Drosophila melanogaster: one gene and its partner. Changing the gene in region 2 together with the main gene of any one other region gives a genetic interaction. Each region holds a gene or a part of one and is shown on either strand. Other genes may lie near its edges.

Region 1 (4,866 bases), on a different chromosome or scaffold from region 2:
TTGCAAATTAGATTGCCAAAAATAAGCCAAAGGCATTTTTACATACATCACATTGTATTCATGCAAAGTGCGCGTCAGCTGCAGCAATCTTCATTAATTGCATTGCAATGAACGTTGGCATTTTCGCACATATGCCAGGGCAAAAAAGGCCAAGAAATGTCAGCCAGGCCAAACACAGCCATATGCAATATGCACACGTATAGTCGGAATTCTCGGAACGCATCGCCTGCAACGTCATTGTCATGAAATGCTTAAATTTATTGAGAGCATGCCACATATAGTATATACAACAACGTCCTTGTCCGGCACTTGGTATAATATCAGAACTCCTTGTTTATATTTTTAGTGGCAATACCAATTAATCTTAGTTGTCAAGAAGCCGGGCGCCCAGAAATAGCAATGTTATATATATATATATGTATATATATGTATAGGTAAGTATTTGTAAGTACTTGGTTCTTGCCTGTAAAATTAAGCACTTAATCATCGCTTGCAGATTTAATTAAATGCAGCATAATAGCAATTCAGGGAACAGGCAGCGATATTAATCATACGCCATGTTGTCAGCTTTATGAAATGCCTGCATAAATCTCTGCCAAGCCGCAGAATGCATTCTGCTGTTAAAAAAAAAAAATGCATGTGTGGGCGCTTGCTGTTGGCAAATTGTTTCAAATGTGCGCAATTTAAACGAAATTGAGAAACCAAAAGCGGAAAAATAAAGGACGAAGCAAACGTTTTCGGTCAGCCTTTTCCTTTTGACAAATTTGAACAAAAGCCAAAAAAAAAAAAAAAACCCCTCCAGAAACCCCAGCAGCATTAATTTCTGTGAGTTCTGTAATAAACTGGAGTATACGAAAAAATAACCACGACAGCTAAAAAGGGGAAAAATTTGGGGCAAAAAGGAAGTAAACAGCAGCGCGAACAAATGGCTCGTTTGGCTAACCTTTTCTGTTTGGCTGCCCTGCATTGCTTTTGTTTATAGAAAAGTTTAAATTGTGTCAATTTTTTGCTTTTTTGGCGCTCGCGCAATGCAGAAAGTTTGGGAAACAAATGAAATGTGGGTAAAAACAATTTCCGAAATCGCGACAAGGACGGCGACTTAGGACCCACAAAAAGTGTGGGTATGATAATGCCACAAAAAAAAAAAAGAGTATATTCTAAGATGTCAGGGGTGAAAGTTGGCATTCCAGTGAAAATTGCGTATTTTCCTATTAATTTTCCAGTGAGACGTTTACGAATTAAATCCCTAAGCGGATAGAATGGCGGATTTTCATCAGGTGCAGCTGGATGTCATAGACACAAAGCTTGCTATCAGCATAGTTTTACTGCTCTTTACGGTTCACTGCGATTCAGTGAAGCGAAAATATTTACTTTTTTGTTGAAATATTGATGACATTGGTCAGATTTACCATTTGAGCACACACAAACATGAATGCGAGCAGTGAACTTTGACACTTTTGTACATATATGGAAAAAATTCAATCAAAGTTTTCCATTTTATTACTGTATATTAATAATATTCTTTAATATACGATCCAATGAAATGCTTTCATGAGCCCCAATTATAATCAAATAACAAAACACTTAGCAAACAATGGTGACATTAATAAATTCACAGGACATTCATCAATCAAAAATCAGTTCGATCGATATTATTAACCCTTAAATACATTAAACTTTCGGTAATGACTGAGGTGCTTCCGTCGATTCCCATCTTCGAGGGGACATAATTTATTGATTTATGTATTCAGTCCATTTGGGAAATTAGGTTTCAATCATTTCCAATTGATTTCTTCGTCGCAATTGAGAAACTTTTCCTGCCAACTTTCAGCAGCAAAATAGTTGGACAAAACAGGCGAAAAGTCGGTTGGTATGGGAATGCAAAATGCTCGGCATCTCCTAGTGGCTAACAAAATCCACTGCCAAACTAATTTGTGGCCAAAACTATGTGAGAGGCGAGCAGGAATGAAGCATGTGCCAAAATAATACAATAGAACCAACTGAAACTTACTTGGGCTTAGTTGAAAAGAAAACTTTCGCTAGCCAAGAAATTAAAGTGAAGTAGGAACTAGACTTCTGGACAATTTACGAGCTCCCATGGGATCGCCAACCGTTTTGGTAACCATGTATATAGCACATATATAGTATGTGCGCGTCGAGTCAGTTTGGCAATATAAATGACGATAAATTAATTATCGGCCGATCAAGTCATTGTCGCCATTAATTATGGGCCCACGATGCACGGCCCAACGGCCTTTTAATAGTTTTTCACACGCCCACGGGACTCAGGACCTTCGGCAATTAGGATGTGAGGTAGATGGATGTGAGGTAGATGGAGATGAGGAGATGAAATGAAATATGGCGTGAATGGGCCGAGGTTTTATGACAATGTTTGCTGCCTGAATAGCGCGGCAGCATCGTCTGGGCCATGAATTTAATGCGCTGCAACAGTTAATGATTTTATTGGCACTCCAGTCGCAACTTGGCCACATCTTTGGGCAGAGACCGGGAATCGGGGACAGCGGATTGGTGTTAGAATCCTCGTAAACAGTCGGGCTGGAATTTATGACTTGGTCTCATGAATATAATCAATGTCAAGAGCGACGCCAAGTGTCGTCTGGGGATCGCACTTGCCGCGCTCTCGAATCCATTCCCCGCAAGAAATCTGAGTGCCCTGACCAGACGCAGACGAATCCGGATGAGCCGTAAACGAAGACGGGCAAATCGCTCGCCTGGCTTAAATGGCATTTCAATTTGGCACTTCCGTTTCCGCAACATCCCACCCCCATTGCTTTCTATTGGCTTTCTATTCTTTGTCCGTAATGTCCTTGCCAACATTTCAATTGGTTCAACACTGGCTGACTGGGGTCACTTCTGCAGGTCTTGCTACGGATAATCCTTAAACATTTCAGCGTTAGAACTTCGAACACTTCGATCCGTTTACCAATAACATTTTACATTTCACTCGAGCAATTTAACTGCTGTTTTCGGGTTCAAAAACTAATTCAACAGCGGTTCTGGGTGCGCGCGTTCAACCAATGCGTTTGAAAGTCCCAATGTAACTGAAACGGCGTGGGCCAAACACAAATAACACGCTACGCAGATGTAAGCTCACCGGAAGGACTTTAAAGGACGAGCGTTCGGAGCTTTTATTTAAATCGAAAAGTAACTGACGGCAGTGGGATGTGACAAAAGTTCGTTGCTATGCAACGAAGGTCAGCCCAGTGTGGCAACGATTGCTTCATAAATTTCAATGAGTCTGGCAGCCCTGTTTTTATCTAATTCAAATTTGTAAATATCGTTTTTCTATCAATGGTCAATGCCTTCAATATTTGAACAAATCAAATTTTCTCTAGAACTGCTTGTTAAAAATTGTTGACATTCTGCAAAACTTTAACAGTAATTACTAAAAATATGGTGTGTCAAAGTGATCGATGTTTCACAAAAGGTATGTAATATCGATAGTATCGAGTAAACATTTTAGTGTGTTCCATCTCTAATCATAGTTACGCTTGCGCATTGTAGACATAATTTTAATTACCGATTTACACACAATTAATTGCTACAAATATGCCTGATAAAGTTACAACGATGTTATTAACCGCGTGAATATGAGGTAGCACCCAAAGAAGAGTTAGTTATCAATTAATTAGAGGCCTAGAAAAGTGTAACAAAATACGCCTGGCCATTGGTGCGCATGTGTGTGTGCCATTGATTACATAGTTGGCATAGGCGACGCACGGGTGCGAGCGAGAGGGGGCATCATCCAAAAAGGGGCGCAACAGAAACCGCATTCCATTTCCAGAAATCCAGGTTGCAGCTTCCATCCATGAGAAAGGTGCGTACAAATGTCCAGATGTGGGTTAAGATTGGCCAGTACTCCTCATCATTCGTTTTCTCCACACAGTAAGCGCCATGCACCACCATCATCCGCCTTTGCCCATAACCGGAGCAAGTGGCTCCACAGCCGTGGGAACGGGAGCAGCTGCAGCGGAGGATGCATCACCTGCTGCGAATAGTGGGCCCGCCCCCATAAGCACCTCAACCACGCCTTCGGGATCCAACAGCCAGCAGCATCAGCGACGTCGCAAGAAGCGAGCCAACTACAACTACAATGGCATCCGCACCGTGGAAGTGCGACGTGGTTACAATGGCTTCGGTTTCACCATTTCCGGGCAGCAACCATGTCGGCTGTCTTGCATCATCAGCAGCTCACCTGCCGAGCAAGCTGGCCTGCGTTCCGGTGACTTCCTCATATCGGTCAACGGTCTAAATGTCTCCAAGTTGCCACACGAAACAGTGGTGCAGCTCATTGGCAACTCCTTTGGCAGTATTCGCATGCAGATCGCCGAGAATTATTATTCCGACAGCTCGGATGAGGAGAACGCCCATGCCACGCTGAGGGGTCAATTGTTGGCAGCCAGTTTGAGGCACAAGCCCAGGTTTCTACACCACAAAGCCAAACTGCACAGATTGCGCAACTCGCCACAAAAGAAGCTAAACCCACCAGAGGCAGTGGAACCGCACAAATCAAAGTCATCACCCGATCACCCTACATTAAAACCCGTTCTGGAGGATCCGCCTCTGACAGCCAATCTATCCAAAGCAGCGGATGTGGCCAATGTAAGTGCCATGGTGCGAGCTGTGGGCAGTGCTGCACTGGAGTGCCGTGTTATTGTTGGCTATCTGGGAACCATCGAGATGCCCAAGCAGATCTCGCATAGTTCCAAGCTGCAGACAGTTCGATCTTGCATTCGAAAACTGAGACAGGAGAAGCGACAGCCCACCATTGTGCTGATGTGCATCACGCCGGACAGCTTGAGCCTGCAGAGTTCCAGCGGCGGAGTGCTGGCCACCTACTCCTCG
Region 2 (4,744 bases):
ATACCCAATACTCATACGACCCGTTGTACAACTTTGCTTCCTCGCCTTCTATTTCTCTTTCCGCAAAACTTGTAATACTTTTCGTCGCGCTCTAGCGTTTGTTGTCTTAAACTTGACTTAATTAAATTGTTCACTATTATTTTATTTTTACCTCTAGTCATTCATTGATTTATTTCGTCGGCGTTCGTTCCCCCTTATTTTACCGAGACGGGATTTAATTACAATCTACCAATTCCGAGTTCATCGTTAATAGTGTTCAAGGGGTATACTTCTATGTGGTTTTCCAGCATGGAGTTGTTGTTCTATAAACAGAACCCTAAACGGATCTTGGATTTTCCTTTCCCTAAACGTTTAACAATCTAATAATAAATTGACGTATCTGAATCATTAGCAGTCTGCTTAAAATCATCAGTTCATCACATAAATCGATCTTTATAATGATTTAATATGTTTAGATTGAAATTGAATAATATTTTCGTTAAGGGGGAAATTTTAAATGAATTCTATTTAGTATCGATTAAATTCCGACTAATTAAAAACTAACTTGATTTCATTTAAGTGGACAAAAACTCACTATACCATTACAAAATTCATTAGGTTAAACTTATTCAGTCCAAAGTTTTGCTCTCTTTAGGTTATTCCTTTTGATATAAATGAAGGGTGTCTAACTTTTAGTCATTAGAAATTTAAGTGCATTTTTCTATAAGTTCTTTTAATTAAAAAACGACCCAGAGGCTTTCCTTAAGTTTTCGTTCTTTGTTTCCAACTACCTCAATATTGTTAAAAAAAAAAAAAAATAGATCTGGAGTAGTTGTCAATCAGTTGCTTATCTCACCGTATCAACAACTAGCCATATTTGCTCTAAGTGAAAATGAAGTATACGCTCTGCAAGCCAGAGCGAAAATGGCCAGAAAGTGCAGCTGACTGCAGATTAAATTAAGTAGCGTTTCGTAATTGTGCCCCATTTATTCGACTAAATGCAAAAACAAGAATCGAAGTTGTATCACTTGTAATGTTTAAAACCTTTTTGCATGTGCCTATAGTTTTTTTAGTTGTCAATTGAAATAAGTTTTACTGAGAGCGTGTGCGACTACCGCATGATCGCACACCACTGCACAAATGCACACGCGTACTCACACCATTGCAGCAGAACACACGCACACAGATAGACTGGCGCACACAGATACTCGGGGCAGTCAAACGCTGACGATGACGTTTCAAAAACTCAAAAAGACGCCACATCCGAGACCTGAGACTTGTCAGCCAACAATAAAAAAAACAAAAAAAAAAAAATTTAAATAAAACAAATGGAAATAGTTGGATTGCAAAGCGACTAGCAAATTACCTAGCTAGTTTCAGCCACTGGAAATTCTTGTAATTAAGCAAAACTTACAAACAATATTATTTATCTTGAATTCACCGGAATGAAAATAGTGTACTGCGTAAAATATCCAATCAATCTTGCTGAATGAAACTAAAACCAATATCTAAAAATATTTTTTAATTTTTATATTTATTTTAATATTGGGTACGAAATCCAACTTTTAGAGTAAACAAACGACACAACTCCATTCAAAATTCGAATAAAGAGTACATTATTAAAATACCTTTCCAAATCTAAAGACATTTTAAAAAAATTATAGTTTTTATTATATGTATGTGGAAAAATCGCTCTCACAGGTAGTTTGTTTTCAATTTTTTTTTGGTTGAATGCACTTTTGTTTTAAGCGAGAAGTATCTTCACTCGTATTCGCTCGTATCTCATCCTTGGGTTTGCCTTATCTTTTTTGGCGCGGCATTTTTCTTCTGTTATTTTTGTCACTGCGGATGTTCTACCTAATGCACTTTTGCTTTTATTATTTTTATTTTTTTCCTCCACTTTTGCTTTGCACACTTCACAATTTTGCCGCAGCTGATTTGTAATTTAATCTTTTGAATCTGGCGCAAAACTTTGGTAATTAGCAGGTAAAGTAGTTAATTTACTTCGAAATTGAATCTTAGCTACATTAGTTTGGATGCACTTGTTCAATTAAATAAAACTTTACTACTTTAGTATTTAACTAAGATCAATTTTTAACTTGTGAAAACTTGTATTTGTGTTTTATTGCAACATCACTGACATATAACTACACTTTTTTATTTGGCTTTTTAAAAACGCCCATTATTATTTAAACTATTTATTTTTATCCATATATTGCCTTTGGCGGCTTATCCACTTTTGTTTTTTCCTCTGCCTTTCACTTTGTTTCTTCAAGAATTATTCCACATTTGTTCCTGTTTTTATGGCACGAGTGTTTTAAAAGTTACATAATAACTTTTCCCGTTCTGCTTTGCGCGTTTTTTTTTTTATACTTCTGCACTTGGTGACATATATACGCCAATATATAGAAAACGATATCCAATAACAAAAACACTTTAATTTCTTTTATGGTAAAAGGTAAAACAAAAAACTTTTTTGGCAATATCAGCAGAAACAAGGAAGAAAGCTGCAATTTAATTAAGCGCAAAGACGGAGACAAACAAAAATATTATTCCCCTTCAAATCCGAAACAGAACCGAAAAGGCGAAAAGTGTGTAATATGCGATCGAGTTACAGGCAGAGACAATATCAACGGCAGACGGCTTGACTTTGCTTCAGATCGGCCAAGTACTTGCGATATAAAACAATAACTGCGCGCTCAAAAAAAAAACCCGGAGAAAATGCGAATAAATCGAAAACCCGAATCGGAAAATTAAAGAGAGAGATCCGCTCGTTGACGCTGCGCTTGCTGGACTCAAACTGAATAAATGCACGAGAATTGCAAGTTCTAAGCTGGCGAAAATAAAAACTACAAACGCAAAAAGCCCGTGGATAAACGAAAAACCGCGAAATGCATCGAAATGTGAGCAGCGAGTCCCCAGAAGCGTTCTCACCGATACAAAGATACGAAACCGAATCGGTCGGGAGAGTCAGTCGGTCTACAAGTCTGTTGTAATGCCTTTTGCCGGCCGGGGCGTATACGCGATATGTGCAAGCATTCCCAGCTCTACCTGACTGACTGACTGATTGAGCACCGCCACTCGGCTATTATTTAATATGCTCTCCACACTCAGAATCCGCCATATCACTCAATTGCACCGATCGTGAACCTGAGTTGAGTCTTTATCTATCGCTCTATCAAACTATCAGCACGCTCAGAGCCACTCTGCTCAGAGGGTCTCTCTCGGATCGGATAGTATAGCTTTTCTATATAGTTTTCTTTCAACCTTTCTGTTTGTTGTCCAATATTCCGCGTGTTTCTGGCATTCCGTCTGGAGATTACAGATATAAGGGTCTCTCGGGGGTCTCGCAGGGGTGATTCAACGGGTTTTGTTTGTCCGCGACTTAAGTTCAAGGTCTGTGGCAGGGGTGAGTTTTTGACTATAGGTCGGCATAGACTGAAACTAGGTAGGTGGTGCAACATACCCTAACTATCTTTTGATCTATCTATACTGCTTCATGTCTATAAACTTACATTAACAGATCATATGTGCATTTCATGCAACGTGAGGCGAACTGAAATATAATTTGAAATAATAAGAGAAGTTAAACATAATTTAAAGTTAAAACTAAACAAACTGTTTTAATATTTAATCATTTAATTTAATGTAAACTTTTACTAATTAAATTGTCTTATAGTATGGAAAGTGATAAAAGAACTTCCAAACTGTCATTTCAGCTTTTGTTAATCCACACAAATAATTTCCAAAGCACTACGGCATTAGCTTTTTAATGCAAACTCATATTTCAATAAATATTTCATATATAAAGTAGTTTTAGTATGAATTCAATAGTGAACCACGACCCTTACCTTTGATTCCTTTGTCGTATTTTATCTTCAAAATCAATTCAATTGGAATTCAGCTCCGAATCTAGCACTACGACCTCACTTTCTGCAAAGGTAGCACAGAAAACTAATAATTCTGATTCTTATTCCATGATTGCCTAATCGCGAACCGCTTGCACCAGAAATTCGATATTTATTAGATGCTTACGTAACATTTCAGCACTCGATTTGCAATTTACAAGATTTTCTCGATTTGATTTGAAAGTTTTATAGGTTTATGCAACGCACAGGATGTATATATGTAGCTATTCAGCAATGCAGAGGTGTAGTCAGAACTACTTTGTTGTCAAACTGAAACTCAATAGTTTTTTTTATCAACCACTTTTATAAGTTAAAAGAAAAACCATAGTTATGTTCCACATTTATTTTATATTTTAATTGTTTTCCTCTTTATTTTACATCATTATTAAATTAAGAAGTACCAGTAAAAAAAATTTAGCACAAAAAACACAGAGAAAATATGTTGTTGATTTGATCTTAAGAATTTTAGAAATATTATAAATTTTTTTTTGTTTCATATAGAATTATGTAATAATTTCTTCATATAAAGTAGACACAAAAATAATGTCAAATTTTGGGATTGTATTGTATTTAGTGTCTAAACGTAAATACACGATGATTTAATTTAGACGTTCGTGTATATTTTGTATAAAATTACATAAATATTTTGTTGACAAAAAATGTTGATTTATTTATTTATTTTGTGTTGAGCTGAAAATTAAATTCGTGTTCTATAACTAGCGTAGAAAATGTACATATAATTTATGGATTATCCGTAAAAAGATATTTACAAAGACAAAGATGTGCCGACTGATAAAGCAAATTTTTGTTTTTAAAATTGATTTGCTTTATAGGGAGAGTTTGAACGATTAAAAAGA

The links. Genes that interact genetically often act in the same process or in processes that back each other up.
Region 1: of Clk (region 2) and wake, changing one suppresses a phenotype caused by changing the other (phenotypic suppression), as found in Drosophila melanogaster (one study listed by BioGRID).

What each region holds. Positions count from the first base shown.
Region 1 is NT_033777.3:22,637,989-22,642,854, reverse strand, and holds the start of wake (wide awake), read right to left. Parts: upstream 3,048-4,866; 5' UTR 2,945-3,047; intron 1-2,944. Other genes in the region: loco (locomotion defects), read left to right, coding at 3,916-4,866.
Region 2 is NT_037436.4:7,772,583-7,777,326, forward strand, and holds the start of Clk (clock), read right to left. Parts: upstream 3,022-4,744; 5' UTR 2,914-3,021; intron 1-2,913. UniProt on the Drosophila melanogaster protein: Circadian regulator that acts as a transcription factor and generates a rhythmic output with a period of about 24 hours. Oscillates in antiphase to the cycling observed for period (PER) and timeless (TIM).